Linked DNA regions of Oreochromis niloticus. The protein of the gene in region 1 purifies or fractionates together with the protein of each later gene. This does not show direct contact. Links are inferred from orthologs where the notes say so. Each region holds a gene or a part of one and is shown in the gene's direction. Other genes may lie near its edges. The genes, in order: tmub1, erlin1 and rnf170.

The links.
Region 2: the proteins of tmub1 (region 1) and erlin1 purify together in Homo sapiens (affinity purification with mass spectrometry; 3 studies listed by BioGRID and IntAct, with this or other methods). This does not show direct contact. The link is inferred for Oreochromis niloticus from reciprocal best matches to the Homo sapiens genes TMUB1 and ERLIN1.
Region 3: the proteins of tmub1 (region 1) and rnf170 purify together in Homo sapiens (affinity purification with mass spectrometry; 3 studies listed by BioGRID and IntAct, with this or other methods). This does not show direct contact. The link is inferred for Oreochromis niloticus from reciprocal best matches to the Homo sapiens genes TMUB1 and RNF170.

What each region holds. Positions count from the first base shown.
Region 1 is NC_031982.2:34,492,618-34,503,340, reverse strand, and holds tmub1 (transmembrane and ubiquitin-like domain-containing protein 1), read left to right. Parts: upstream 1-3,749; 5' UTR 3,750-3,900; exon of another isoform or gene 3,901-4,135; intron 4,136-5,131; 5' UTR 5,132-5,160; coding exon 5,161-5,618; intron 5,619-5,752; coding exon 5,753-6,104; 3' UTR 6,105-6,685; downstream 6,686-10,723. UniProt on the Homo sapiens protein: Involved in sterol-regulated ubiquitination and degradation of HMG-CoA reductase HMGCR. Involved in positive regulation of AMPA-selective glutamate receptor GRIA2 recycling to the cell surface.
Region 2 is NC_031978.2:19,358,255-19,368,977, reverse strand, and holds the start of erlin1 (erlin-1), read left to right. Parts: upstream 1-5,209; 5' UTR 5,210-5,324; exon of another isoform or gene 5,325-5,569; intron 5,570-6,234; 5' UTR 6,235-6,250; coding exon 6,251-6,363; intron 6,364-6,566; coding exon 6,567-6,648; intron 6,649-9,506; coding exon 9,507-9,553; intron 9,554-9,642; coding exon 9,643-9,704; intron 9,705-9,813; coding exon 9,814-9,939; intron 9,940-10,028; coding exon 10,029-10,102; intron 10,103-10,723. Other genes in the region: inhibitor of nuclear factor kappa-B kinase subunit alpha, read left to right, coding at 504-655, 754-815, 907-1,016, 1,173-1,222, 1,466-1,574, 1,693-1,840, 1,965-2,014, 2,242-2,341 and 1 more. UniProt on the Homo sapiens protein: Component of the ERLIN1/ERLIN2 complex which mediates the endoplasmic reticulum-associated degradation (ERAD) of inositol 1,4,5-trisphosphate receptors (IP3Rs).
Region 3 is NC_031972.2:24,338,178-24,348,900, reverse strand, and holds rnf170 (E3 ubiquitin-protein ligase RNF170), read left to right. Parts: upstream 1-5,401; 5' UTR 5,402-5,629; intron 5,630-6,291; 5' UTR 6,292-6,315; coding exon 6,316-6,455; intron 6,456-6,676; coding exon 6,677-6,752; intron 6,753-7,284; coding exon 7,285-7,399; intron 7,400-7,618; coding exon 7,619-7,692; intron 7,693-8,116; coding exon 8,117-8,248; intron 8,249-8,771; coding exon 8,772-9,041; 3' UTR 9,042-10,095; downstream 10,096-10,723. Other genes in the region: arpc3 (actin-related protein 2/3 complex subunit 3), read right to left, coding at 406-482, 1,040-1,139, 1,519-1,524; gpn3 (GPN-loop GTPase 3), read right to left, coding at 2,006-2,071, 2,204-2,332, 2,441-2,537, 2,717-2,832, 2,954-3,078, 4,197-4,364, 4,549-4,657, 4,795-4,842. UniProt on the Homo sapiens protein: E3 ubiquitin-protein ligase that plays an essential role in stimulus-induced inositol 1,4,5-trisphosphate receptor type 1 (ITPR1) ubiquitination and degradation via the endoplasmic reticulum-associated degradation (ERAD) pathway.

The sequences.
Region 1 (10,723 bases):
GTGAGTCACTGAGCAGAATATGTCGCCTGATCACCTGACACGTCACCTGATCCCTGCTGCCCCACTGTAGGCTAACAGTGACACGTTGAAGGTCAGTGACATCACCTGTTACTGTGTAGAATGTACCAGGTGTATTTATAGAGGATGACAGCTGGCCATCACCACACTTTAACACCTTCATCCTCTCACTGCCCAATCAGCTTGCAGCTCACACCATGGCGGCCCAACAGTGTGTGAACTTCCTGAAGGCTTCTTTTCATTTACAGAAATCAATCTGAGCGTGCTCAGAAACGAGATTCTGCACACGCAGTGAGGATGCTCCACGTGCAGAAAGGCTCCAGAGCGCCACCTTCAGTGATAGAAACGTCAATGCACACTGAGCTCTGTGTATGAACTTTGGGTCGTTCCTAAAGCCACGCCCCCACACCTGGGCACCTTCACCTTTAGTCAGATTCATCTGAAGATGCAGCTGTGCTTCGGAGTTCACGTGTCTGTGGCACCATGGCGAATTTTGATCCTTCGCCACTGGACAAAAATGATGATTGAGGGGTCTGTAGCTACCTGCACAGGTGTGATCAGAGTGCACACCCACTCACAGTCACAGCAGCAGCTACGGGGCACAGAATAGCCAATCAGAATGTTTCACTTGCAGCAGCTTCACTGTGAGGGTGCCCACCTGTGTGCACCACAGCCATTGTTTGAATGACCTCACACTGACGTGCACCTCAACTGTTCTCACCTGGCTGAGCATTAAACTCACGTGACATCACCACACCAGTGTAACCACAGAGGTAACCGGAAACAGTGTGTTTGGTGACATTGCTGATGATCGATTCTCAGACAGGAGCTGATCTCTCACACACACAGGTCCCGGTGCCGTTCTGCAGACGGTCCCCGGGTTCTGGGTCCGGACGGCCGGGGAGCTGGGCTCGGGCCCGGTAAGGTCTCCGGGCCGCCAGCTTCCAGCTGCCCGGTAATGGCGTCCATCCTCCGGCAGGAGTCAGCACGTAGCTTCCGCTGGCACGAACCGCAGAACCGAGCGCGAAGGTTTCCCGGTGAAACGTGTCGGAGCGACGCGGAGACCAAACCGGAACAAACCGGATGAAACCGGATAAAAGATCCGAGCGAAAGTCTCCGGACGGCACACGTGGAGCGTTTAAGGGCTTTAATCCGACAAAATGATGACACGTAAAAAGGTCGAGGTCGAGTCTACCCGCGGTGCAGGATCACCAGAACCCCCGAGCCCCCCGAACCCTTTACCCGCAGAACCAGAGCTTTGTGCGGGCGGGACGGGCTGCAGCTGCCCCACAAGCCTCCGCTGCAAAGCCGCCATGAATGTTGTGGCGACTCGGGGACGAGCGAGCCGAAAAACCCAGAAATGCGTTTAAAATCGGAACCTGGCGTTTACCTGCTGGTTCGGACAGAAAGCCGGGGTGATACTGCACGGCACCGTGCCGGTTCGGCTGCTTTCGGGACCGTGGAAGTGTGGTTTTTTCAGCCGTAAACCCCGGGGAGTCAGGTCGAAACGAATCCGACAAAAGGAGCGTCTAGTCCGGTATGAAACTCCGCCCAGCGCCGCAGGGGGAGGAACTCCGGGGGAAAACATGAGGACAAAGGCGGAGGATGAAACCAGAGACAGCGGCCACAGCGGCAGCCAGCCCCGCTGGAGCCGCCGCACACGCACTCTTTAACGGACGCTATTTTACATTTACGCCGTTTTCACTCAAACCCAACTGCGACTGCGTACTCCGAGCCCTCTCTGGGTCCAGATGCTGAACAGGCGGGAGGCCCGGGGACCGCCGGCAGAGATGCGGCCGGGGGCCCGCGGAGCACAGCGGATGCTCTGGGAGGAAGCCGAAGGGGCTCCCTCCACCGCCCGGCGCGATGCTGATCGGGGGCTGAGAGGCGGCAGAGGAGCCCGCTAAGAGCAGCGGAGTCCCCGTGATCAGTGAGGTCATCATCTGACTCCGCACCTGCCGCAGGTGGGGTGAGGTGTTTCTGCTGTTTGTCCTAATAAAGTTTGTTATTTAGAATAAAAACAGCCTTTATTTTGAGTTCTTGTGACTTTAATTCTGGAGTAAACTCGGAGGACCCTGCCACCTGAGGTGAGGACAGGTGCACTGGGCCTCACCTGTGGGACCCTCAGAGGTCTGAGCTGGGGTCCGGGTTCTGGTGGACTTCGGAGCCCTCACAAACACAGCCAGTGGCCCCTGAGCGCCACTGCTGCCCCCTGCTGCCCGGATGTTCAGCACGTTAAAGGGAAAGTGTTGGGGTAATGACATCATCCAGACTAACAGCGCGTGCAGCAGCTTCTCTAACAATGAAAGGTCAGGCTGTGCACGTGGACACCCCAGGATGAGCCACCAATCAGCTGATCAGGTTTCTGCAGCTGTCAGAGCCCCAACATGCTGAAGAGGAAACACTGCAGATGATCGATCGGTTCACTGACCGATCAACTGATTGATTGAGCGGACCCACAAAGTTGAAACTCACATATTTCACAGGACTTTGTGCAGAATTTACACTCACAGCCACTTTATTAGGTACACCTCCTCCTGAAACGCTCACTGGGGTCTGGACACACCAGTCTCCTAAATCATCATTCTGACGCTTCATTTGAACCTCAGCAGCTCCTCTTCATCACTTTGCTGCTACCCTGTGATTGGCTGGTCAGATATCTGAGTTGAACAGGTGCACCTAATAAAGTGACTGTAAATAAAATGAGTGCATTATATTCATGCATTTTAATATATGTTTGTATTTAGAGTGTTTGAACATGTTTCTGTGGGTGAAGTGAACCTCATGCTGTAAAATCTGCTGGTCTGCTCACACACAAACACACACAGGCACTCCTAAAGCTTAATCACCAACAGCTTCATGCTCTTATTTTGAAAAGTCGCAGCAGGTCATGGTCAGGGTTCCTTCTCAGTACCTCAGGCTGTCACACACCAGCTTCACACAGGTGATGCTGATTGGATAATCTGGCTCGGTTGAGCACCAGTCAGACTTCCTGTGTGTCAGCTGTCGTTCCTGGTCGTTCCTGGCCACGAGTACACATAATCCACACTCTCTGTTGGAAGCTGTAAACCTGCAGTAATGATTTATTATGGTCCCCTTTCTTCTTCTGCTGTCTGATCTGCTGTTACAGAGGGCTTTAGTCTAATATGTCACTTTTCGTTTTGTTTCATTTATTAAAAACTTTATTTGGATCTGATCTCGAACACGTTTCTTCTTCTTTACTTTTTGTTCTGTACCATTTGAAACTGTTACACTCTGCTTGTTTCTTTTGTCTGGTTACGTCATAAGGAGACGCTACGGTAATCGCGACCAGCAGGTGTACGCATGCGCAACCTCCACTGGGGGGGCGATGGTTTTACGAAACCAAAGAAAAAACAGGAGAAACGAGAAGCACAGGAACAGGAGAGAGGAGACAGCTATATCCTGACTCAGATTTGGGCATGCTGGTTTGAATAGCACATTGTTTTTAATGAGAAAGCACTGCACAGGGGAGTGTGACTGCAACAGAGAAGAAGAAACAATAGGACATGTTTTAGTGCATTGTCAGAAATATGATGCTCGGTGAGATGAAAGTGAAACTGGACTTGGCTGATTTATTTCGTAAGAACTGGAGAAGTGATCAGGTCATATTTTGTTTTTTAAGGCAGACTCGTTTGTTTGGGAGGATTTGATTCATTTTTGACATTCAGTTCACACTCCACACCAGTGGGTGGCGGTAATGCACCATTTTGCTGTTTGCCAACCGCCAATAAGCAATATAGAGAAGAAGAAGCCTCCGCTGGGTCCGCCGCGGAGCACAGCAGTAGAAGAAGCGGCAGCAGGAAGTGATGCAGCTGTTAGCCTGCAGGCTAACGCGGAGGACATGAAGCTCCTGGACTGAACGTGAGTGACCGTCGTCTCCTCTCTCCTCGCGCCTCTGCGCAGACTCAGACTGTGGGTCAGAGGCTCCCTGGGAGCGGGAGCTGTTAGCGCGTATCTTAGCGCAGCGGGTAGCTGTTAGCGCGGACTTTAGCGGGACTGGCGGAGCTGATCCAGGTGAGCCCGGGTGGCTCAAATGCCCGGATCTTCCGGTGAAACGCGACCAACAACTGGTGACGTGACGAGGCCGCGGAAAGAGGTGAGCAAATACCTGAGCAGAGGGCGTCAAAAATACACTTGATTAACAACCGGATCAATCATGGATCGATACCTGCTGACGGCACACAGGAAACCGGAAGTTAGCGTTGTATGGGGACAAGTGTAAGGGCTTTTCATCCCGCTGGTTGGACAGCCACGCAGGAAGTGACGTGCGATCCGCCAGGGGAGCTTTTACCTCTGAGTGTGTTTCCCCAAGATAGAGTCCCAGAGGTCACCCTGTGGTGTGTGTGTGTGTGTGTGTGTGTGCGCGTGCGTGTGCGTGTGCGTGTGCGTGTGTGTGTGTGTGTGTGTGTGTGTGTGTGCGTGTGTGTGTGTGTGTGTGCGTGTGTGTGTAGAGCGGGGACAGGACGCTTGCTCTGATTGGACTTTACTGGGCCCAGGTGTAACGTAGAGGCGGAACTTTGAGGTTTACTGGGATTTTATCGTTACCATATTCTGACAAACGTACAGATGATCTGCATCTGCAGGTCACGACCTCACAGCTGATCAGTTTGTGTTTTATCAAATGAGATAAGGTGATTTTACTAAAACCCGCCGTACCTGTCCGATGTCGTCTGATGGCGATTACATGGATCCAGTTTGGGAGCCGTCGATAACCTCCCATCAGGCGACACTGTGAGGTTCAGCTTCCGGCAGCTACAGGTGTCCTGCAGATGTTCGGACGTTGGTTTCCCTCGTGTGTCTGAGCCGTCAGCTCGCTATGAGTTAGGAAGTAACTCTATCGACCTGAGAGAGGAGCTCACCTGCTCGTAGTACTCTCACAGTATTGTATTTATCACCACACAGTACTGCGATACTGTCGTGTGACGTTGGAGCTCCGTCTGTGGGACACCTGCCCCTAAAGGGGCGTTTTCTTTCTTTCCCTATTTCATAAAAAGCTTCAGTCATGCTGGAGTGAAAGGACAGGTGAGGGGTTCTCAGGTAAACAAGAAGTGTGTGTATATACCTGAAGCTAAGCTCTGCCCTCTCCCTACAGGTGTGTGAGCTGTGCTGACCTTGGCGGCGATGGCGCTGATCGAAGGTGTCGGCGATGAGGTGACGTTGCTGTTCGCCACTCTGCTGCTGCTGACAGTTCTGCTGCTCGCCTGGATCTCCACCCGCACATCCGAGCCCCCTGAACACCTGTTCACAGGCTCCTCCCCTTTACAGAGGCCCGGGCAAACCCAGCAGGACACGCCCTTTTCATCCACCGCCACCTCCTCGTCCCCCTACCCACCATCCTCACCCTCCACCTTCTCCATGTCCTCGTCCTCACCTTCCTCCTCTGTGAACGACAGCTTCCTGACAGAGGCTCCCACCACACTGGAGGATGGACAGGTGGGAGGAGACGGGGTGAGGCGCAGAGGAGGAGACGGAGAGGCCGCGGTGTCTCAGCGGAACATGGTGGTCAGACTCAAGTTCCTCAACGACACAGAGAGGACGGCGCAGGTCCAACCACAGGACACCGTCGGGTACATTAAGAGGTACGAGTGCTGCATGTAATACTCCATACACTACACTACTGCATAGTAGAGGAGGAGTTTCGGCAAACCTGAAGCTCCTCCTCCCGGCTGTGCCCCCGGACCCGTTTGCTGACCTCTGACCTCTGACCCTGCAGGACCTACTTTGCGGGGCAGGAGCATCAGGTGCGTCTCATCTATCAGGGCCAGCTGCTGCAGGACGACGCGCGGACGCTCGCCTCGCTGAACCTCGCCCATAACTGCGTGCTGCACTGCCACATCTCGCAGCACGCGGCGCGGGGGGCGGCAGGGGGCCAGCGGGCGGGAGACCAGGTGCGCGTGGCGCTGAACGTGGGCAGCCTGATGGTCCCGCTGCTCGTGCTCATGCTCTCCGTGCTGTGGTACTGTCAGATCCAGTATCGCCAGTTCTTCACCGCCCCCGCCACCGCCTCGCTGGTCGGGGTCACCATCCTCCTCAGCCTGGTGGCCTTTGGCGTCTACCGCCGCTAGCCTCCCATGGGCCGGCAGCGGGAAGAGACGCTACCTGCAGTTATTGTTTGTTTCTGTTGCCATGGAGACGCAGTGAGGACAGAGACTCTTATCATTAGATCACACGTTTATCTTCATCATCAGCGTGCCTCTTTGATTTCTGTGGGAGGCACAGACACACCTGTCTGCCTCACCTGTCTGTGTGTGTGTGTGTGTGTGTGTGTGTGTGTGTGTGTGTGAGAGAGAGAGAGAGAGAGTTTCAGCTTTTGGAGAAAATCTATTAAACCTTTAATTTATCCCGTGGTGTCTGAGTGTGTGTGTCACACCTGTACAGGTGATTCTGAGGGTGGAGCTGCTGCAGTCACATGGCTGGTTGGCATCACCTGATTGGCTGGGCGGTCAGCGTTGGGGAGTACAGATTTTTCCCTAGCGACAGGTTGTTGCTAAGCACTCTCTAACCATCCAGGATCAGCTGATAATGGAGTCCATTTCCAGGGTGAAGATTTTATGGGCTCTTATGTTTGACCTTTGACCCTCTGTGTAGCAGGAAGTGTGTAATGTTACAAAATAAAGTTGGATACAAAAAGCTCAGAATGAAAGAAGTCATGTGACGACCTCAGACTGTTTCTGTAATGTGATTGGTCAGAGCTGCTGCTTTGACATGTTCACAGGTCACGGCTCCGTAAATCAAGATCCTGACGACTTGAACCAAAGTCGCGAGGAGACGACTACGAAAGAACCTCCAAACTGTCAAAGTTGTCGAGATCACGTAAGCGGCACGAACTTCTCAAATACAACATGTCGAAGAAGACGGAGAGGTGCGCAGTGTGGCCCAAAGTAAGGAGCAGGAAGACCAACTCTGACTGACCATCAGGTTATCAGGTCATTATCAAACCTACAAGCAAATATTAGAAATTCAGCTCCAACTTGAATTTACTGTCAAAAACGTCAGCCAGAGATCAATAAGTGAAGAAATAACAGCAGTGAAGATGCGCGTTTCTAAAATATAAAATACACCAATTGTTGTAATAAACCTGAGCCCACTCACAATGACAGACACAAAGTATGAAACTTGATGAGTTACAGAGCTCATCAGGTCTGGAGTTAGGAGGAGGAGGAGAACAACGTGTTCCTGTGCACCGGTCCAAACAGCTGATGGTTGGTGGTGTAGGAACGCCACCTGCACAGCTCGAGATTCTTGACTGATTTCTTCTTCAAGCATGTGGCCGATCGTGTTCCTACAGTAGACTTCAGAGACACGTGTGAAGATCAAATAACAACCACAGAAGCTGATGCAGTGATCGGACGTCCTTCTAACAGAGGCCGGGCACGAGATTTCTACAAACGTTTCTGGGAACATGTCAATGGCCTTTTACATCGAGTATTGGCAGGAATGTTTCAGACTTCCACTCTGCCGCCCACAATGAGACCCAGACTTATCGCCTCAATTCCAAAGCCCAACGAGGACCCTAAGAAACTCCAAATGTCTTCACTGCTCGTCTTTAGATAGTTCTGTCATGTCTCATTTCAGAAACACAGGTTTCTTCACAGGAGGATCGGTTCACAGTGACAGAAGAGCGGTGCTGGATACAGAAAGCTGATAAAGACGATGGATTGTTACAAAGCCTTCGACTCAGCCTTGATAAAGTCCTTGAACACTTTGCTTTTGGAGTTAAATTCAGAAACGTGATTTGTGTTTGTACCACATTATTAGCAGTTGTGTCATTGTACCCGATGGTCCCAGCCCTAGCTTTAAAGCTAATGCTGGAATTCCTCTTTCTCCATATGGCTTCATATTGGTCACCAAGATGTTGGCGATTCATCTTCAAAAGTTCAATAACATAAAGAAATTAAATGTTTTAGCCACAGATATTATCACAAGTCAGCAGATGACACAGCAACATTTAAAAGATAAACTCCAAGATCCACTAACTATTGAAAAATTGCTGTCCAGGCATCTGCACTACTACTATTATCATTATTATTATCATCATCTGGTTTAACATTAAATGTTAGAATATGTGAAGTCCTTGCTGTACCTGATGCACCAGAAAAAGATGTTTGTAACATTCCTGTTAACTCCAAAATGAGATATTTGGGAATCTCACAAAGGAACAAAAACTAAATCAGTGGTTGAATGTGGAGAACAAACTGAAGGAAACGAGGCCAAACTGAGCTCGTGGCTTCAAAGAGATCGATCCATCGTGGGCAGAATTTATCCAACAAATATGGAAAGTTTATCCAGATGTATCTTCCTGACATGCTGCCATTCCAGACAAATGAACAAACGCATCAGCCTCATTGCATGAAAAACGCCTGTTTGATCAAAGATGGTAAAAATGAAGGTTTGAAAGCCGCAGACGTCCACGGCCTGAAAAGGACTTAAAAATAAACTAACATCAAAGATGATGATCCTGGTACTCTGGACCAAACGATTTATTCAGTGGACTGAACTTTCTCCTTATCACACACTCCTATCTGTGAAAACCTCCGTGAAACAGCTGCAGCTGTGACACTTGACGCTGACGCCACAGCTTCATAGGTCAGAGTTCAAATATACGCTGGAGCTCGCTCATCTGAGCACCGCACACAGGTGAGATCGTACCTGACCAGCGCCTGGTGTGCCCGAGCTTCAACGTTCACCTTCGTCACAGAGCCGCACACACAGATGAACACGGGCCTTTTACTTTGATTGGCTCGACCTCGGGTCACTTTCACCTGAGACAGCAACAATAACATCAAACACCTGCACAGGTAAGCAGCAGGTCTGCAGGTGGAGTTCTGGAAGGCCAAGTGTGCGCATCAACACTGAAACACACGGACACACCATGGATACAGCTGATCACATGACCTCTACAGTTTACAGGGTAACTGATCAGATATCAATAACAGTGATGTCACCCCATCAATATGAGCTGATGGAGGCTCTTTCTTCCTCTCCTGAATGACTTTCTGTAGATTGTTTACCTGATGGACACAAACAAGCTCACCTTCAGCTGTGCAGCCAGATGTTGGGCTGCAGCTGCACGTCTGCAGCTTCCAGCAGCAGGACGGTCTCTGTGAGGGGGAGGGGTGAGGAAGACGAGGAACCTTCGCTCAGCTGCCTGCTGCAGACTGCCACCAAACACACAGACCAGGCTTTTACTTTGAAAGGTTTGGCGGACTGACTCGTCTGTTAGGGGGCGTGTTCTGCTTCAGTCACACCTGCCGCAGGCTCAGACGCGCGTGTCTGTTAGTGACATCATTGGACGCTGAGAAGACGTTTACATTCGTGTGATGTGGCGCTTCAGAATGAATCGGGTTCACTTCCTGTGAGCAGATGATGGACAGCAGAGAGTCTCCAGGTGACTCACCTGTGTGCTGAGTCTGTCCAGTGCCTTGATTTGAAACAGACACGCACGGCTGTACACCTGGCCAATGAACAGGTCTGGACAGGTGAGCCTTTGCCTGTCTCCGGAAGGCCTTCAGGGTGGGTGGAGTCACAGTGGGCTTCGGCTCCTTGGGTCCCAGCTGTCGGCCGTATGTAAAGAACTCCTGAAACACCAACCTTCTGTTGCTCCACCATAGCTGAGAATATGTGTCGAGCCCCGCCTTCAGAAGCTCCGCCTCTTCTTTCACCTGTGTCATGTGATCACCTCCTGTTCCAGCACAGAGAGCTCTGGATTCTGCTGCAGAGACACCTGCAGAGGCAAGTACAGGTGAGCCGCGCAGAAAGGGAGAGACAAGTGAGAGAACAGGTGTGCATGCGAGAGTGATATCAGGTCACCTGGAAGTTGCCATGGTGACTCACAGAGATCCTGAGCGGCGGACTTGCTGCGGTGTAACCATCGCTGATGATGGCGCTCATGAGGTGTGACGGCCCCCTGACCCTTCCTTCAAATACACTTCCTGTTTCCTGAAGCTGCAGACTGAACTGACTGCAAACAATGTAGCCCCAGTGCCGCCAGGTGAGTCTACCTGTGGGTTTGTGCCATCAGACAGGAAGCCCAGCGCTCAGCGCAGCAGCTGGAATAACCCGTCCTGCAGCGGTCGACATAGTCCAAGTACCTGATCCAGGACTGGGAGGAGGCGTCTGCTCTGTACAGACTGCTGTTCACCTGGGGACAGGTAACAAAGGCGCTTCAGAAGCTGGCCCTAAAGCCCCTCCTACAGGTGCTGTGTCACCTGAGTTAACCTGAGGAGCTCTTGTCACCCACCCCTGTAAAGACACACACACCTGACGACAGGTGAAATGATGGCAGAGTCCAGGCCGAGGGTTGAAACTTACCTGTGTGAGGTGTGCGATGGCTTCCATGTTGTCTCTGGCCTCCATCACACTAGAGTGGATGTCCAACAGCAGCTCTACCTGCAGCTGCACACCTGGACACACACACACAGGTGTAATAATGCACCCGCTCCACCATGTTTTTGTGGCTATGATATCATGTGATATGATATGTCACCTGTGACGCTCCAGGTGTTCCTCTGCAGCTCTAACAGGGTCAGGTTCAGGCGGTGCAGCTGGTCCTGCATCAGAGGAAGCTCCGCCTGCAGGATGCCACGCACCACCTGAAACAGGACCAAGTCACATGTCACTTCAACTCCCCCCCCTACACCTGCAGCTTCAGAGTTTTGGAGCTTCTGTGTGCATCTATACACAC
Region 2 (10,723 bases), on another chromosome or scaffold:
AAAACACTAAGTGGGTTACATCAGTTTGTCCAGTTGGGAAGCACACTGGACAAACTGTGAATCTGTTTCACCCTCTTTGGTGCAAATAAAAGTGACAACAGGAGCACTAAAAAGAGAAAAAGATCATCCCAAAAAGGGCCGGTTTAGCAGGTGGTGGCCAAAGACCATTGCTTTCTCCTTATCCCTCCTGACTGAGTTTTCTCTAGCTTTGCATTTTGCAAGTGTACTTGTCATTGATGTTAGCGTCAGGAAACCAAGAGATACCACAAGATATTGAGAACAATGAGTGCTGGAGAGGGCCTTAGAAGAACCTGATCTCATCTCAAGAGAACAGGGCACCACTTTTATTTGCACCAAAGCAGGTGAAATGGATTTGCAATGCTTTGTTTTATTCCTGAAGTTTAACTGACTTTGCTGTGATGAAGGAGTGCTCCCTTAATTATCTTTTTGAGCAGTGTGCATTCAGGTACTCAAATATTTTTAACATGTATGTGTCTACATAGGCTGAGTTTGCTACGCTTCAACACCAACTTAACGCGCTACAAGAACATGCTGTTCTCCCAGTCGCAGCAGCTCCAAGCCAAACTGTCTTTCTTTAAGACGAGCATCCAGCATGACCTTGAGCAGTACACCAAGCAGAGCAAGGCTGGAATCTGTGAGTGGATGCTACTGTCCTGTTACAACACTGTTAACTCATTACTGAAGTCTTAACTTGACTATATCTTGTTGTTGTGCTGTTGTTGTTATCTAAAGCTTCGGAAAAAATGCTGAAGAAATGGCATGAAAATGAAGAGAAAGCTGATGAATTTACAAAGGTGAGGCAGTTTTAAATTCAGTAATTCTTCACAAACTTTCTTTAAAGTTTAAAGACAGCTAAGAGTGTTTTGTTTTGTTTTTTTTCTGCAGGTTGCAGATGTGGGGTATCTGGATGAAGAGATAGTGGCTCTACATTCAGAGATTGTGGAGCTCCAAAGGAGTCCTTTTGCTAGGAGACAAGGGGATGTGATGGAGCAGCTGTGAGTATTTTTGTGGTACAAACTTATACTATAGCCCTCTCTTGTAACACCATAGTAAAGGTCCAGTGTAAGAACTGGATTATATTTTATATTTTATATTTATATCCTTTAAAAATAACTGCCGTATGCATGTGTTTATTCTGTCTACTTGTTTAGTGAGGAAAAGGCTATTGAACTCTACAAGCAACTTAAGGCTAAATGCAAAAGTAAGTACAAGTCATTACAAAAATAAAATAGCAGAAATAGGCACATGCTTTTTGCCAATTAGAGTGCAGGTAATTCTGATAAAGCTTCTAATAAACAAGTTACAAATTGTGCAAAAGGTCTTGTTGATCAATTGTATCATTTTGGTCTCAAATTTTTTTAGATTAAAAAAACAGAAGGTATGGTAGTTGTGCAGTATATCAGAATATTTTACGTACATGATTGTGTAAGTGTGTCTTCTGCAGGCTCTGACCCTCCACATGGCTACAGTGACAGCTCAGACATGGTAAAGACCATCCTTCAGACAGTTCAGAACCAGGACAGAGTGCTGAAAGACATGTACACCCACCTGAGGCAAGTTTAATTTTAACAAACACACACAAACATGTCAAGTTCAGCCCACCTGAAGCACAATTTTACAGTTCCCCGTGAGCCACGTGTGATTTTTTTCCATCTTTCTCTTTCTCTGTAGCACAATTCTGGTGTGTAAGCAGCGCATCATGGATTTGTTCCCTAAACTGGAGAAGGCGTTAAAAAACATAACAACTGCAGAAACAGTAGTGATGCAGATGCAAGTGTCGAGACAGAGAGAGTTCTGGTACCTTCTCAAGATTGCCTGTGTAAGCATTTAATAGTTGGCACAGCAGAAAATATTCTTGGGGATGAGCAGTGTTTAGGGAACATAAAGGTTTAAATATAGTCAAATGAGACTGTAGCTAATACAGAGTGTGATTGTGTTTTCAGGCCCAGAGCAGTTCTCCATCTCCGTCACTTACACAGCCTTCCACTGACAGGTAAGATCAGTTTAATATCTGAAAAATACTACTCAAGTTAACAGCTACAATAATCTGTCACACTGTTTTGAGCTTATCTCCCAAATGTAAGGATTTTATCTGTAGTTTAGAAGTTGAATTTTTGCACAAAACTGCCACTAGAGGTCACTCTCTGGTCTTTAAAAATCTCAGTTTGTAGGAAAAAAACCAGACTCCCAACCCTCCTTATAGTCTGTTTTTTCTTTCAGTGAAACAGTTCATCAGTTACTTGATGAAAATCAACGTTATCTGAGTCAGCTAACGTCTTTGCTGCAAGACGCCACCCAAGAGATGGAGCACAGTATTATGGTATGGCAAAGATGTGTTTTTATGTTCAGCTCATGTATATCAGCAGATTACCAAGTTGTTTTTTATTAGAGCACCAATTAACAGCTAAATATTGGAGATTGGCATAAAAGTACTGAGTGAATATGTTGCTTCTCTCTGCAGGATCAGGATTGGAGCTGGACTCAGTATGGAGCAATGAAAGTGAAGCCTCAGAAGCTCTAGAAACTCGCCAGATATCACACACTTTAAAAAGTGCTCTATCAGAGTCACACCCTGTGAAAGTTTTCTTATTCCGCACACTGTCCTTTACATTTATGTAGTGCTGTTGACTAGAATGTATGAAACAGCATGATGTGGTAAGCTACAGACATTTTAATTTGAAGTATATTTTTGAATGTTAAAAAAGATTTCCAGCTGTAGATACAAGATATTTATTTTACTGGCAATACTGACTAAAGGTAAAAACTGCTGCTGTGCATGATTGAATGTGAATAAATTTCTAGAAACGTATAGTACGTGTACAAGGTTTTGAATTTGTTCAAACAGTTTCTTTCTTACAGTATGTTTAGTTTCTATCTGCACGGGTGAAACTTTTTTACATTCACGCAGTGGAGCACACGAAATGCAGGTTTAAAATTCTCCTGGGATTTGCTGAAATCCAAACTGCAAGAATGCAGAAAAGACTAATGTAATATATAATGCAAGACCAGACAATAGTCTACTATACTTTATTTGTACTGACAGTAAAGGGAAACAGGAACAAGGCCTGAGATATGCCAAATTGCACAATAATTGGACCTTCCAATAATTTGGAAAAAACAGTAAATATCAGATGATCGCCCGTGAGTTAGCGCTTTGGCAATAGTGGGAAGGAAAAACTCCCTTTTACTCCCTCATTAGCTTCTGTTCTATGGGAAGCAGGGAAAGCTGTGATGAGAGGTAAAATAATTTATTTCTCATCACATAAAAAGAAAGAAGAAAACAAAAATATTCAGGAATTAGAAAAAACCATCAAATCCCTAGAAGAAGCCTACGTGTCCCACCAAGATCAGGAAACATTGAACAAAATACGCAAAACAAAACTAGAATTAAATGAGATAATTGATAAAAAAATAATGCACCTCTCTGGGGACATCTCAGGCCCTCCAAGGTATGGAGGCCTATCTCCCCCCACCACTTCTCCTGCCAGTGGCAGACGCCCTCAGACATCGGTGCGTTGGTGGTTCTTTGTGTCTGGGATGGGCGTCCAGGTACCCACCGGCTCACTTCTTGGTGGCTGCTTGTCGGGGCCTGGAGCCTGGGGCTCGCTCGGGCCACTTCGGGGGTGGGGTGCCCTCGGCCTCTCGGCCTGGGGCTCGGTCACTCTGACACAGCTGGCTGCCGGCGGAGCTCACGGGCACGTCACTGCAACCCCCCCTGGCTTCTGCTCCGCGGCTACTGAGTGACCCCTCATCTGGGACTCTCCTCAGCTCTTTCTGGGATGGTGGCGCGGCTGCCCCTCTGTTGGTCTTCCTTGGTCTCTTGTGTTTTGAGGGCCTCTGGATGTCTGGAGTCTTGATCTCCTCCATACCTGCTTCATGCCCTTGTGGATGGGGCTGTGGCCCCCCACACCCTCTAGCAGATCATCACATGAAGGAACCTTTTAAATACAAGCGCGCTCATGCTCACAGGTGTACACACGGGTACTCACACACACTAACTACACCCTTTTTGGCTCCTACCTCAAAGCACACTGTGTGCTGTCGATCTTACGTGCTGCACAATAATGTTTAATATTTAGTTTTTACTGTTACATTCCCATAGATCATCGTGATGTTGTTTATTATGTTGCTCTTTTTTTCTGCTTGTTTTCTCTTTTTTCTTTCTCAACAGGTGATCCAGGTGATTGATATATGTATTTTTTGTCTGCTTATTTTGTTGTTTTTTGTTTTTTGCCCTTTATCCCCATCCCTTTTCCCCGCTGTTTTTCTTTCCCTTTCTTTCTCCCCTTTCTTTTCCCCAGTCAAGTCTGTCCCATATTTAACAAGTGAAAATAAAATAAAATAAACAATAAAAGGTGAATCAAATAGACCATTATAGCAAGGCTGGGATGGTCCATTTGGTAAAGTAAATCCGTTGGGCATCTTTCTTCACCTTTAGACAATAATTCTGATGGCAAAAGAACCAAATGGGACAGGCAAAAAAAAAAAAAACAAGGAAAAACTCCCTTTTAACATGAAAAAGCTTGGCTGTGTGTTGCAACCGGTTTAGGGTGAGGGGACAGAAGAAACACTCTGTGCATCATGAGAGCCCCCAGCAGCCTAGGTCTGTTGCAGTGTAATTAAGGGAGGATTCAGGGCCACCTGATCCAGACCAAACTATATGCTTTATCAAAAAGGAAAGTTTTAAGCCTAATTGTAAAAGTAGTCAGGGTATTTGTCTCCTAAATCTAAACTTGGTGCTGGTTCCACAGAAGAAGGGCCTGACAGCTGAAGACTCTGTTACCAATTCTACTTTTAAAGACTCTGGTAACCACAAGCAAGCCCGCTGTCTAAGCACAAAGCACAACGTTAACATTATGGAAGCAGTGTGGGATTATCTTGACAGAGAGCAAATGCAGAACAAAAGCCAGCCAATATCCAAAGAAGATATTTGAATATGTTTTTATAGTATTCATACAAAATAAATGAAGTGAAAAGAACTTCCTTGGTCCACTGGTTTTTCTGGACATCTGTCAAAGACTGGCCATTGTTTTATAATATTGGTTTTGTAAAACATTGATATTCTTCCGAAGCCATTTGGGTCTTATATATCTGTATAAATATAAAGGTTTTATCAAGATTTTAAATAAAATAAATCGTTTGACAAATTCCACCCATTTACAATGTCACTTCTTTTATTTCCAACTGTCCTGAAGGCAGCATAATGCAGCGAGTCAAAGCAAGATTGAAACCTGTGGGAGGCGGGGAAAGGGGGGTGGGACGTTGAATGCTAAGACCAGAAGGGGAGACGGTTTGCTACAGCGGTAATTTTACATATTATAATCCTGTGGTTTACAGTACCTACTGAAACATTATTTGGTCGTAGTGCAAGACGATTTAAAAGCTTTGCTTCACGCTAGTAGCCTAGCAAGCTTGCGTTAGCATTAAGCTACACTGAAACAGTGCTTCACTTCCGATCCCACCCAGTGAGAGCTAGCCAGCCAGCCAGCTAGCTAGCTAGCTAACCCAACCCAGCCAGCTAGGGTAAACGTTACCAACCGAGTGGTGGGTAAGCCTTTGTTTTCTTTTTCAGAACTTATTTGTGTTAATGTTATAGCTAAATCAAAGGACCTGTAGCTTTGAAGCACATATGTTGCTTCATAAGTTGACTGAGGAGTTACTTGCTTGTTACCCTTCTCAAGTCTTTCTATCAGCTAATTGTGCCTGTCACCGTTAGATGTTTAAACTAAATACACGTGAAGTGTACTTTAACTAAGCGAAGTCGTTAATTGTTACTAATAGTGTTGCTATATGGTATCCATTGATTGCTGTTAAGGCAACTATCATAGGTATAAAGGTTTCCATGTTTGACCCTGGTGCACCTGTGTTAATAGCTGACCGTCTCACTGGTGAATATAAAAGGCGTATATATGAGAGTGTGTGTAACCAATGTGTAATGATTTACTTAAACTCTTACTTTCATTGCAATGGGGTGAAAAACAGGGTGCACGGAGCAGAAAAGCTAAGCCATATGGTGTGTTGACCATAAAATTACTGGATGTAAAGAGGCAAGTTTTATGGCACAGCTCATGCGTTACTGTTGGTTTACCCTAACAGTCTTGACTGCATGTATTGCTGTTTATAGTTACAGTTTCCATCTGATCACAGACGTGACGGTGCCCTGAGGGCTTAGTGTTGTATAAATATTTCAGCATTTTCCTTTTCTCTCTGCAGGTGAGTGCTAGTAAGGATGACGATGCCGCATGTAGGGGCAGTATTTGCAGCAATAGCAGGAGTGATGGCCATCATGTTGCACTCCTCTATTCACAAGATAGAAGAAGGACACCTCGCTGTGTACTACAGGTATGTCAGGCCTGATTCATCACACCTGTTTCTGATGAAAATGACAACTGTACTAAGAATGTGGGAGTGCTATTTGTAAGCGACCTGTTTCTAATAATGGTTATAAAGTTATATGTCTTCTTCTTTTTTCCACCCTCATTAAATATAATCAAAAGAAAATCAGATATTGGGAACTCTGGTGAAATAATTTGTATTTGTTTCAGAGGTGGGGCATTGCTGACTACTCCCAATGGTCCTGGATATCACATTATGCTGCCTTTCATTACCACCTACAGAGCAGTGCAGGTAAGCCTCTCTTTCCAGGCCTGAAACATGGCCTTTGAGCAAAGGCATTTGTAATGTAAGATTCAAACAGGAGGTGCCTGCGCTTTAAAACTAGAGTGGGATCTTCTATAAATAAGTCAGCTACAGCATGCAAACAGTTGTTATTCAACCATGGCTGCAGGGGCTCTGTTTTACACCAAGTAAATGTAGCATTTACATGCCAATACATATACAGTTGTGGGCAGAAGTTTGCATGCACTTGTGATGGGTATGAAACTCATGACAATTTTAGTTTTTTTCACTGATTTCTTTGAGGTGTTATTTTTCCGGGGTAGAATGATTGTGCACCCTACATCTTTAATGCCTTTAAGAAACAAGAATTGGGTGCACAGGTTTGAATTTATTTAGGATTTTCTCCAATCCACACTCTGTCAAAAGTAAACATAGAGGTGCAAATATATACATACAAAACCCCTCTAATATTTGTTTAAATGTCTTTTTACAAGTTGCACTTCAATCAGCGGCTTTAGATAGTCATCAGTAAGCTTCTGGCATAATTCTGTCTGGGTATTTGGCCACTGTTATTGGCAGAATTGGTAGAGTTCATTTAAATTGGTTGTTTTCTTGGCACAGACCAGGGTTTTAAGCATCATAGTTCATAAATTTTCATTTGTGCTTTGGGAGGGCACTTCCAGAAACTTGACGTTAGTCTGGTTTATCCAATCCAAAATCAGTTTTGAGATATTTTTGGGATTATTGTCCTGCTGGAACACCCAACTGTGTCCAAGTTTTAACCGTCTAGCTGTCAATTTTAAGTGAAGTTGAAGATTTTGGAAATGGTCCTCATGCGCTGTTATTTCGTCCACTTTGTGCAATGTACCAGTACCTCTGGCAGCAAAACAGCCTCAGACCATGCTACAGCCAACACCATGCTTAACAGCTGTTATAGTGTTCTTAGGTTTGAAAGCCTTATGTTTACTCCTCCAAGCATAAGTCTTGTCATTGTGGAAAAATAGCTCAATCTTTCTGTCACCTGACATAAAACTTTTCTCCAGAAGGCATTTGGCTCGTCATTGTTGGCAGCTGCAAAGTTGAGCTGGTTGGTTGGTTTTGAAACACAGGTTTCTTTCTTAGTTGCATGTTCTTAGTCTAGGGTGATATAAAACTCCCTTTACTGTGAACAGAGATGTTGATGTTCCAATAGCTCATGGCAGGCTTGAGCTTTAGTGGTTCCTGGCTTGTTCCTGAACATCCTAACAAATATCCTCTCATTTTAGGGTGATAGTTTGGGTCTTGTTCCAGACCTTGGCAAAGGTCTGGACTTGGTAGCATATCCAAGTAACTTGAAGATTTACGGTTGTTTTGGAAAACTACTGTTACATTTTATGAACGTTTACAATCAGAATCGTAAAAGAGTATCAGAGTAATATAGTAGAATATGCTTTACACATTGTATGCATTCAGCTTGTATTAACTTGAAACAACCATGCACTTCTTTATGTAATCTTGTATAGCTCCTAAATTATATAATGTAGTACAAAGTAGCATTGCACTCAATTTCAAATCTTAATAATGCACTCACAGGCCACTTTAATAGGTACCTTGCTAGTACCAGATTGGACCCAATTTTGCCTTCAGATCTGCTTCTCTGAAGCAAGTGCTGGAAACATTCCTCAGAGATTTTGGTTCATTATGGCATTAGACATTTGCTGCACATTTGTTGGCTACACATCCATTATATAAATCTCTCACTCAACCACATTCCAAAGGTGCTCCTTTGGACTGATATCTGGTGTCTGTGAAGGCGACTTGAGTACAGTGAACTGATTGTTATGTTTAAGAAACCAGTTTGAGATGATTTGACCTAGGGCTGTTCAATATAACGATATATATCGGATGACGATATAAAAACGTCTATCGTTTCATTTTACGCTATCGTTTGTTTCGTGGTGTCGCAAAATAAACTGTTTACGGCAATATTTTTTTCATTATTTTGATGGTCACTGTAGTGGCTATATTAATTTCCTAAAGTTTGTTTATTGCTTGTTTATTTTCCACATAAACCTTTCACAATAAAGCTCAAGATCCTGTTGAGACTTTTCAAAATAAACTGAATCACGTGAAAGATGCAGAGTATTTATGGACGAGAAGCAAAAAAGAGCCGTCAGGTGCTAAAAATAAACCTTAAACTCAAACGTTAGAACAGGCTTTTCCCCGCAGCACGCCGTGTAATAAATACTAACAAAGAAAACGGCGGCCGTTACAACTTATGTCTAAAAATATATAGTTTCATGCATCAGTTAAAACACTCGACTCCAGGTACGCGACGCCCAGCTGGAAACACTTCACGCAAGTCGAGCTGCCCGAGATTCACAGAATTTACAGAAAATGTTACATTTTTGTGATTTATATCGGACGATAGATGTCTTAATATCGGGATATGAGATTTTGGTCATATCTCACTGCCCTAATTTGACCTTTATGACATGTTGTGTTATCCTGCTCTAAGCAGCCATCAAAAGATGGGTACACTGCGATCATACAGAGATGACATTTAAGGCTGTGGCATTTGAATGATGAAGAACTCCTGCAAATCAGAAAAGATAGGGCGTGCTTGGAGTCGTATGGCCATAAGTATGAAATAGGCAGGATGGATCCATGATTTCAATTTTTGTGATCCTGTGCAAATTGTAGTCTTAGAGTCACTTAAATCACTTTTATTCCCAGTTCTGATGCTAAGTTTGAACTTCAGCTATGTTTAATAGCAGTTGAACCTGTTGTACCCTGGATTTTAGATGCTTAGTTTTAACAAATAGGAAAACACACAGATCACTTTTACTGATAACTATGTCACAATATGTTTTCAATTTTTGTTTCAGACTACACTCCAAACAGATGAGATCAAGAATGTGCCTTGTGGAACAAGGTGTGACTGAACTTCCTTATTTAGCTGTTAAAAAATTCATTCCCACGTTAAAATGAATATATATTTACCAGAATTTTTTTTCTTCACAGTGGAGGTGTGATGATCTATTTTGACAGGATAGAAGTTGTGAACATGCTCGTCCCCTCAGCAGGTGCAGCTTGTTTTTGTGAATTTCTTTCACTGCAAAACTTCCTTATTTTGTTGACTTATTAACCCTATTGGCATCCAAGTAATTGTTGCTTTTGTTCTGCTATATTCAGTGGTGGACATTGTGAGGAACTACACCGCTGATTACGACAAAACTCTAATATTCAACAAAATTCACCATGAACTCAACCAGTTCTGCAGCGTGCACACGCTACAGGAGGTTTACATTGAGTTGTTTGGTTAGTACATTTTGGTTGCATTTTACTACAATGCTGAAATTCCTGAAATTAGATCATACATTAGAACTTTTTCTTTTTTTTGTTTGCAGACATCATAGATGAGAATCTGAAGACTGCATTACAGAAAGATCTGAATGTTATGGCACCTGGACTTACAATACAGGTACCTAAACACACACATAACCTGCATGTTTTCAGTGACATTTTAGGGATGATAAAATCAGCTAGTTGGTTTTGTGCTGTGACACATCCAGAACTGAGATTCCACCCTCCCTCATTCCCTCGCTCTGTCCCTTTTACAAAGACTTTAAGGTAGCACTCAGTACTTAGAAGTGTATATTGTACATAGTTTAACTTTTCCAGCTGAAATGGAGAATGTTTAGTGGAAAAAGGCGAGATCGCACATGGATCATGGAGGTGGTAAATAACACACAGTTTCATACCAGCTAGATTTAGGCACTTGCAGCAAATGTACAGAGAGTAGAGATTAACAATCAGTCATTTGTACTGCCTACTAGTACACTAATAGTGTTGTTTTTGTTTGTTTTTTTCCTCTTCCTCGTTGGCAGTTGATCACCAAATAGCCCAAACTTATTGCACGTTTTCTTCCGCACTAACCTGTGTTAATACAGTTAAAAATGCTCCCACTGAGGTGAGGTAAAACAGAAGTCAGATTAAACTGTTGTTTACTGCATTACCTATTAGCTTCTTGCAGGAACTATAAATTCATTTTAAGCCGCGGGGTAAACCAGGTTACTGTCTGTTAGTGTTTGTTTAATGACCC
Region 3 (10,723 bases), on another chromosome or scaffold:
CACACGCATTATTGAAAGAGTTATTTATATAAAGCATTGAGGTTACTGTAATTTGTAGTAGTTAGGTCTCAGAACTGAACAGCCTAAACCATGCAAACTATGAAAAGATTGCACTGTTTGCAATCACAGGAAGAGGCAAGCCAGGGCATGTGGAAAAACCAAGTGCTCAGCTGCTCCAGAGAGAGTAAGAGAAAACATACAGAGGAAAAGGGGCACCAGTGAGGTGCATACCTGCCTCCTTATTCAAATAAAACTTATTAAGCTACTTTAAAACAAAAAATTATGTTGATACAATGGTGAGAGCACAAATACAGCAAAAACACTGCAAGGTTTATGACTATTTTGGTCTCCTTAAACATGGAACACATGCAATCAAAACAGTGCAAATATTAATGAATTGCTTACCTTGATTTCATAGTTCTTAAAGAAAACATTGGCCTTGAAGTAGTAGATAGCCTCGTCAATAATATCAGAATCTACGCCTAAAATTTTTTTTAAAAAAGCAAAGAAGAAGAAATCAACAAATGTATGGCTCTAAATTCAGTATTTGTGCATGTGTATGTGTCACTGTTAAAGTGTCATTTCCCGTTTTGGCCATGCAGGCCTTTTTTGTTACCAGCAGAGCTCCATTCTTGATTTATGAGCTGCTAACAAACAACTAGAATCACCCAATCACAAAATATAATAGCTTCATTATTCAATAGCACTGAATCTGTCAAACCCACAACACCATGGAAGAGTTAAATGAACCTTTAGGTGGATCAGACACTAGAAAATACACCGTTTTATTACAGAAGTGCTCATAGACTCTAATGAAGAAGTTAGAAGTTGAGGATGAGCTCTTTACACCATATAAGGAAGTGTATCTGATGCATGCATCAGGAAATAAAGTAGGGGTCATAACAAGATACAACCCACTGCCTAAAATGACTTGACCAAATCAAAAAACACTACTAAAGACTTCACTACAATTGATATGCGTTATTTAAAGGACATTATCGACATTTTGACACAAGTAAAAGACATCGCACAGCCTTACCGTCTCCTCTGGCTGGTCCTTTAAACTGAGTTTTGACGGGGAGCAAAGCCATGTTCCCCACCAGCCTGGTTTCGGGGGCCATCAGGTTTGAGTGATACGCCTGAAAAATATTAAAAGAAAAAGTTGCTGTCACCTGATTTCTCTGGGAACATTTCTGCCAGATAGCATCATTGCTACTATGCTAGCCTGGTTTAATGGTTATGTTATCGTAGAACCAAATAATAATAAGACGTATAGGCAACGTGCTAAAAGGCATTTGCAAAAAAGCATCGAATGCGAATTTGCGCTTTCTGACATGTCAAACATCGTTAAATTGCGACCCAAATGCTTAAGTAATTAGCGAACTATGCTAACGTTAACTCGGAGGCCTCTTTTTTCCTACTCAGTGGGATTTCAGCGCAATATTTTTGCTCTAAACCTAGCAGTAAAGTTCTCTGCTCGTCAATAATAGTGTGTTTCTTCTTATTTTTTTTACTCACCGGCATGTTGAATGATAAATATCAGTCCAACTGCTCAGCGACAGAAATATTCCAACACTTGCAAGATACTGCTTCCGTGCTGTCCCACCCTTCGGCTACAGGAAGTGGCCACGTGTCATGTGGCGTATCAACCAGCCGGGGGCGCTAAATAAACACTTCACATCACACGGGCGGCAAAACGTGTATTTTGCGTTGCATTTTATTCAAAAAAAATATAATAGCAATATTTTTAATAACTGCTAAGCATTTAAATGCATCAAACCACTGTTTTAAAATATACTTTTAAATGAATAGTTTCATTATCATCAAAACAAAACAAACAAAAAAAACACCTTTAAAATACATGAAACACTATTCATGATATCCACAATCTTCTTCACGTGTCCATTTCTCAGTATCCATGCAGCTACAACAAACAGTCCGATGGAACTCCTTTGCCAGTCTTGCTACACAAAGTCTGTATTTGCAGGACTGGCCATACTGCGCCTTAGCTGTTCACTTTGTCTTGAAAAATCTCATCATAATTTAGGTTAGCAGGCTCTTCCTCAACCTCCTGTAGGAAAAGAAGGTACAGAAAAAAAAACTGGTTGATCATGAAAAGGTATATAATGCATCATATTATATATATACATATTTTTTTAAAGTTCTGTTTAACTGGGGTTGGTGGGTTGTGCTGTTTCTTCACCTTTGGCTCCTTAAACTCCAGGTCCTCTCCATACTGTATTGAGAAGTCAATGTGTTGCAGTACTATGTTAATACCTTCTTCATCAGTGCGGTCAAAAGGGAGGAATCTTACTATACTGTAGTCATCAATCTAGATACACAAACAGATACTGTCTCATTAAAAACAGACAAATATATTAATAAAAATATCAATCTGATCATAAACGTGATGCAGTACCAAATCAAGGCCTCTACTTACAAGACCACAAATAGCTTTGGTTAGCTTCTTGAACTTTTTGCTTCTGATTGTGTTGGAGCCGTCTTCCATCATTGAGTACATGTCTGGGTCCAGGTATCTTGTGAAAAAATGCAATGCATAAAAATGTAAGTAAATTAAAACTAAGAATTGTCTCTTCAAACATGTTCAGGTTTTGAATAACACGAAAAGAAAACTTTAATCTAGTCCTAGTACAGACGACAAAGGGAATTACTGTTTTTGTGGGCACTTAACATTGTCAATTCATATGAAACTTACTTTTCAATCTCCTTCTTTGCTTTGGGGCTAAGCAGATCCATTTTTGTCATGATGTTTACCTGAGGAATCTCTAATGACACCATAGCACTGAGGGCAGCCATGACTCCAGAGATAAACTACAGTAGGAGACAAGTAAAAGGTGTGCTGTCACTATTACATTATGTGTGTGTTTGTACAGAAATGAAGTTAAAAAAGGAAAATAAAATAAATCAGAGGAAGACACTGTGAGACTGTTACCTTAAAAGACTCCACCATGAACTGTGAGTCAACAAGGAAAACTCCACAAACCCGAAACTCCCACTGCTGGAGCTGCTCCACCAGCTGCTTCATTACAGGGAGGTGTGTGTACAGCTCAATCTGCCCTGTAAAGAGAAGCCACGCTTCACACCAGTTCTATGAGGCACACACGGACAACCACTTTTCCAATGATAACATACCTTGTTCCAAGACTGGAATAATGAAATATGCACTCACCTGCCAATTCAATAGGTTTGTTACTCTCTAATGGCAGCAACTCAACTACATTTAAGCATACAGACATGGCCAATATGCTGAAGTTTAAAGCAAGCATCAGAAAAGGGGAATATGGTATGGTTATCGATGGTCTGAGCATTTCTGAAACTGATCTGCTGGGATTTTCCCCAAACAGCCATCAACAACCATCCATAGGGTTTACATACAACAGTCCAGAAAAAAAGAGCGAGAAGGAGAAAGACCAGACTGTTTAAAGCTAATATGACGGCAAGAGTAACTCAAATCCATTACAACCTAGGTTTACAGAAGAACATCTCTGAATGCGCAACATGCTGAACCTTGAATCAGATAGGCTACAGCAGCAGAACACCACGCCAGGTGCCACTACTGTCAACTATGAACAGGAAACTGAGGCTATAATTTGCAATGGTTCAAGAAAACATAATTTAAACCCCACAGCCTACCTGAGTATTGCTGCTGACTACCTTATGACCACAGTAAACCCATCTTCTGACTGTTGCTTCCAGTAGGATAATTTGTCATGCTACAAAGCTCAAATCATCTCAAACTATGTCTCGCTGCATGCTCAATCATCCAGGTAATGAAATCCCAAAACATTGATTCTGTCCATCAAAACCGTAGCACTTTCAGTGGGAGAAACATTATATCACTCATCCAAGTGCCTTCTTCAGTCTCAGATGGACAAAATCAACGTTTTGGCATTTCAAACAAACTGACAAATATGCAGCAACTGTGTGATGCTATCATGTCAGTATGGTCCAAAGTCTATAAGGAATTCACTGTGTTGAATGTATGCCATAAGGAATTAAGGTAATTTTGAGGGTAAGTGGCCATGAGTGTAAATCTATTTCGGTGATTTAAACAAAATTAACAAATAACAGTGCTCAGGATATGTTGAATCCCATCCACACCCCAGCACAAACAAGTGCACTGTGCTGAAGCCAATGGAAGACTGGCTTCAGCATACCCTCTTTGAAACATTTACCTGGGCAGTCAAACAATATGTAGTCATCTTCCACGTGACCCAGGCTTTCCTCCAGCCAATCAAAGTTGTTTGCGAAGTACTCCATGCAGAAAACCAGACCTCCGTTTGGGCCAAATCTTAAAGAATCGTCCTCCATCACGTCATCCACCTGAATAAGCTCACGGATGTCTGAGAGCACCGAAACATAATAAAGTTACCATGTGGGTCGTGTAAAATAACTCCTATATGCTAAATACTAAAGCAAAAATTAACGTTAGAGCCTAATTAAAAGCCATTTATCAGGGTTAATCGTATCCTCCTCTATTCTATGGACACTACTATGTCATATAAACTAAAACCATGCTGTATTTACCTGCCATGACAGGGTAATCAAAGTGCTCAGCTGCTGGGTCCAGATTGACCACCTGAACTGAACGGTTTAAGGTCTCTGAATGCTGGACCATGGTGGAGCAGTAGGTACTCTGAAATGAAAGTGAACTCCAGTAAACAAAAAGCAGATGCAGTCTGTGTTGAACACAAGACAACCTCATGCCTTAGCATTAGCCAAATAGCACAACAAGGTATTTCAACAAGTTTAACTGAATGGGTGATAACTTACCTTACCGCTACCCGCAGGACCCATCACTAGCTGTGCATAACGAGGCATTGTGCCTCAGTTAAAGAGAGCTGTGTAAAATTGGGTCCTTTTTGTCGCCAAAAGTAGCTTCGTAGAACTGTTAGTAATATTGATGCACTGGCGGTGGTGGCCCTTGTGCTTCTTCTTCTGCTTCTTTTTCTTCTTCGTCTTCTTGTAAGAAACATCTACATTGTATTAGCACTTCTGCCACCTATTGGTCAAAGCGTGGTTAACAATTCATCGCTTGGATCATTATTATGCCATGTACTAAGAAATCTAATAGGAAAGTTATACACTATATGAAGACGTCTTTCTATTTAAGGTAAGACATTTACGTCAGTAGAGACAGAATATAAGTCTCTCATAAATAATTAAGTTAAATAAATGTGAGACAATGCATAAATTGAAAAGCTAAAACTATTTTTCTGAGCAGTTAAACAATTTCAGAAATTACTCTCTCTGTGTATACCATGTTTAATTTATGTAAAAGAAAATAAAAAAACTGATGGGATAAGGATAAAGTACAAAAATAACGTCATTAACAAACACTAGGGGGCAGCATTCTGTAGTCGTAGCTTCTAACCTGCATACCTCTAAGAGAATAAGAAGGAAAGGAAGTAGTTGCAAACCGAAACGGTATCATCGGTATGCCAAGCAAGAGCAACAACACGCAAGCGATTGCTTCTGGTCTCCTAATTTGACTGAGCCTCTAAAATCTGTCATAACTGGGGGGAAATGTCTCGATAGAGTGGATGGAGCGGACAGGTGAAGCTTTTGGAAAGAGCTTACCGAGTGGAGGTGGACTTCTTATTATCAGGTGAGCTCTTTCATCATAGTCCGTCCTGCAAAACGTTTCAAATTACTTTGCACGTTACGTAAACAGTCTTAGCTTCATTATGCTGTGTGCCACACTCTTCAGCTAGAACTTAAGGCGGCCCTGCTAAGCCTGTCGTGAAAGGGTCGTTATGCGACTGATTTGGGGGCGATAAATGTCCCGTAAAGCTCAGACTTAAAGAGAGAAGCTGTCCTTCTTTCACTGGTATATAAATAACTACAGGGCTGTCTGTGGTGGAGGAGCTTCCAAAAGCCACACACTGTCATTACCAGCAGTAGCTGTGCTCATTAATGTGTTAAAAGCTAATCTACGCCAGCGCTAAACTTGGCAAGCGGGCGTTGCTAGCTGATAATAGCAACACAGTGAACGGAAGAATGCTACATGCAGGGACAAGTAACCAAAGTGTCGCTAACCTAGTTTTGTAACGTTTTGGTAAGAATGGACTTCTCGCTGCTATTGCTAACAGGTCACTTAAAAACAAGCCTTTAAGTTCGCAGCTTAATCCCGTAAACCCACAGATTTGTGGCATTCACAGACTTGGGAATACATTAGTGGAACCTTATAGTCCGTTAAATTATATAGCTTTTACTAACATTTAAAATTATAATTAGTGATCTCTTTTTTTCTCCCCCTCTGTTTTCCAGAGTTGTAGGCTATGAGTGTGGGTGATGGAGGACGGTCAGCATGGGGACTTGGATTACTTGATCCAAGATGAGGACACTCTCATTGAAGGTGTCAGCAACCAGGTCTTATTTGTGGTGGTGCTCAGTGTCGCCTTCCTTGCAGGCCTCCTCACTCTCCTCTGCAGGTAAGCAATTGATTGCTTAATAAAAAGAAAGTGCTGTTTTCTTTTTCTTTGGATGACAGGTGTTCAGGACTGATAATATATGCATATATCTGAGGGTTGTAATCATGTAGAATATTGCACTTTAGGGCTACTCGTATTGCATTGCATTGCATTGTCACGCTCTGTTTCATAGTTTACGCTGACAAACATCTGATTGCCAAATCATCTTTTGACATTTGCAGACAAGAGCAGCAAAATATTCATCCTGAGAATCAGGAGCACGTAAGAGCCGTCCGACAACAGCTCCAGACCGAGCAGGTAAAGATGCAAGCGCAGCTCCAGCCTTTTTAGCCCTAGGTATTACTTGGAATCCTTTGCGTGGTTTGAATTCTTGTTTGAACATTAACGACTCAAGGCTTTGCAAAAAGGCCAAACATCACCTGAACATTTCAAACTCAGAAAAGCAGAGTCTTGAGGATTATATTTTCATTTGGGGGATGTCATCCTTTACTAAAAATATTATTTTGTTGGTGTTTAATTTCTATTTTATCTTAAGAAAGCAACCTCTAAAATTTATATTTATATCTCTGAAATTTAAAAGAAGCAATTAGTTTTGGCTCTAGAACTGGCAAAAGTCCAGAAGAAGGAACTGAAAAGGTTTAAATTGTCAAGTCACAACAGGAAGTTGCAAAAGGGCTGATATAGATAAATATTCATATTCTTTTACAGCTAGTAAATGGTTTATAATGTTTATTGTTCATTTGGAGGGAATGACTCTCAAAATTGTGCGCTCTGTTATAACAAATGTGCTAAACTTTTAAATTTGTATGCTTTTGATTTCATTTTGCAGGATGAAAATCCCCAGGCTGAAGCCAGGCAGCAGTATTACACAGACATGTCATGTCCTGTATGTTTACAGCAGGCTGTTCTGCCTGTGGAAACCAATTGTGGACACCTTTTCTGCGGTGAGATTATTCTTTTAATTGCTAATTGTACTTTTTGTACTAAAAAAGTAGTACAAAAAGTACAAAATTGCTACAAATGTCGACATTATTTGAAAATATGCACGTCAAGGAAAACATAATTTGGAGTAAATATAACATTTATGTATTTATTTTTTAGCTAATAGCTATTGTTTTGTGCTTTAGTTTTACTCATGTGCCATATCCTGTGTTCTTACACAGGCTCCTGCATCATAGCCTACTGGAGGTACGGCACCTGGCTGGGAGCTATTAACTGCCCCATCTGCAGACAAATGGTGAGTCTTTCAGTACTTGTTAAAATGCACACTAGAGATATTCATAAGTTGCCAGCTGTTCTGTATTCATATCTTTGAATGCACAAAAATACCTCAATGGTTTTCTGTTAGGCATTTAGCTATTGCCACAGTTGTTGGAAATGAGTGTTAAATGGAATAAGTGATGTGTCAGTCCGTGCGGTGCTGTGTGACCTGTCATGCACTGCATATACATATACATATATATTACCACCCAGTTGATTTATAATATCAACTGGCCAATATAACTATAAATGAGTACATAAAAAACCAAACAAAAAACCCCCCAAAACTATACATAGCAAATTTGGGGGAAAACTGTTATCTATGCCTCTTAAAAAAATAAATAAATAAATAAATCGTTCTTAAAAATATCTTTATATTTTTTCTTTTCTTTTAATTCCAGGTAACGTTGCTCTTTCCACTCTTTCATGAGCACGCCAGTCCTCAGAGGGTGCAGGATGGGGAAGCTGAACCTCAACTAATATTAAGAGATATCAATGATTACAACCGCAGGTTTTCCGGACAGCCGAGATCGGTGAGTATTTCACAGTGATATTTATTTAGATTGGGGCTTTAAGTTTGAATATTCATTCTGTACAACCTAGAATATGCTTATATATTGAAAAAGAAAAAAGAAAAGAGGGTGCTCACCTGATCATGACCTGATCTGTCTCCTTTGGTCTTGGGTGCTGTGGATTTTCCACTGTATAACTCCTTCTTTGTCTCCGTGAGTCATAGTCTGAAACCCAACAACAGTTATATTCTTGATACAAAAGTTGGGAAAGTTGTCAAGAAGTGGATGTTTGCTCTCTATACAACTCTATCATGGGAGACATGCGAAAGAGAGGGATTTAAAATTAGCAGCCATCCATGTATGTGATGTGTTGGTTGTCTGTTTGTTTGTTTGTACGGACATACTGCAAATCAATTTCCCGTTAGGGACAATAAAGTTACCATTGACCATTGACCATTGAAATGGCCGATATGATACTACCGTAAATGAGATAAACGTGAGTTATTATTGACAACTTTGTTTCTGTTTCTGTGGTTTACCTCAGTTTATGGACAGGCTGCGGGATGTGCCCACTCTGCTTCGTCACGCCTTTAGAGAGATGTTTACTGTGGGTGGCCTCTTCTGGATGTTCAGGATTCGAATTCTTCTCTGCCTCATTGGGGCAATCACCTACCTGGCCTCTCCGCTCGACATCCTCCCCGAAGCGCTCTTTGGTCTTCTGGGATTCATGGACGATTTCTTTGTAATCCTACTTCTCTTTGTGTACATCTCTATCATGTACAGAGAGGTGGTCACACAGAGACTGAACGGCTAGGCCTTGGCCTGCTCATATGAGCCTCGGGAAGAGTGAAGTCAACATCTGAGGACGTGCAAAAAACGGAATAAATGTTCAGAGAGCAGTTAGTCGATAATACAGATTTTTTCTCTCTCTCTCTCTCTCTCTGAAGCCTTGGATGTTATTTTATCACAGGAGATGGGTTAGCAAAAAAAGTACTCTCAATATTGACTCTGTATATAGAATTTACCATTCAAGATTCTAAGGTCATATGAGTCAATACCAACAGAAGCAGAATATAAGGATGCGATGTAAAAATCTACTTGGAGTCAGGCACTGAGGTCAGTCAGGAAAGTCTTTCTTGCCCATCAGTTTACACCCTTAACTAAATAGTCAACAGTGCCATGAACGGGGATTTGATTAATGTGGATGTCATCATTATGGAGACAATCATGTAAAAGTGTAATGTCTTTATTAAATGGATTTAAAGTCAACAGTCTAATTTTGGATTGTCAGTTGACAAGCAAAGGTGTGTTACAAGAACCCTGTTAATGGGATTATTAGAGCCTGCTTTATTCACTTATAGTTATGCCCATATTTCAGTGATCTGTAACTATGCATAACCATGACTTGAAACCAATGTTTGTGTCAAAATCACTCAAGTGTTTTACCTGGAAACGTCTAGATTTATTCATCCATTCTAACATGCTTCGAACTTTGCTGGGCTTACCCACGTGAAAATATAGTGAACAACACCAACCAGTCTGATGATGACTTCTCAGTTAGAGATGACTTTGTTTTTCAAGAAAAGAAAGAAACATCAGCTCACTCAAGTCATCATTGTTAATGTCATCATATTTCAATGTTTAAAGATTATTTTGAGGATTCTTTTTTTCTTCACATTTCAGGATCTTAATCAGTTTGTCAGCGTCAGTTCAGCTTCATGCACTACAGAGCTTTTCAGAACGTCAGAGTCTCTCAATCTGTCAGATTTTGAAATGTATTGAAGTCTTATTTATGTTCAAATTAAATTAATGTTCTATACAAAATGTGTTTTACTGAGGATGTAAATAAATGGGGGATTACCAAACTGTTCAAGTGTAAATCTAGCTTGAAATTTTGACTGGTGCACAGTAAATATCTCCACCTCAACTTCTTTTACTTTTTTTTTTTTTTTTTTTTTTTAGTTGTGATTACTTAAATAGGTAGTGTTGTCTAGTGGAGCCAGAGATAAAGAGACTTCTTTATCTGCCTTTTCCCTCAAAGCTACTGTGCACCCATGGTTGCTTTTTGAGCAATGAATCCAGGCTATTTGGTTTCTGGGGATTAAAGCCAATGTTTGATAAGCTTGTCATGGTAGGCAAAGTAAAAGGAGCAGGTTTCACTGTATTTCAGAGATTTAGATTACCAAAAAAGGAGACCAGCAGCTACCTCATGGAATGTCTTGTTTTAGGGTGTGCCACATACCAGTATGTGTCATACTTGAGTACTGCTCCACTAGTGTCCCTTTCAGTTTAAACTACAGCCAGAGACAGCAGCATATGTTGTAATGCTCCAGGTGAACTACATCTTAGAGTTTTTTTTGGAAGTCCCACCTTGATGTAATCTTTATTTTGGAAGCATCATGCAAGGGACACTTTGTGCACAGACTTCGTGTACATGCCAAAATGCATATCAGAAATGTGTAAAAATGCTGCTTCTCTCATACAATCTATTAACAT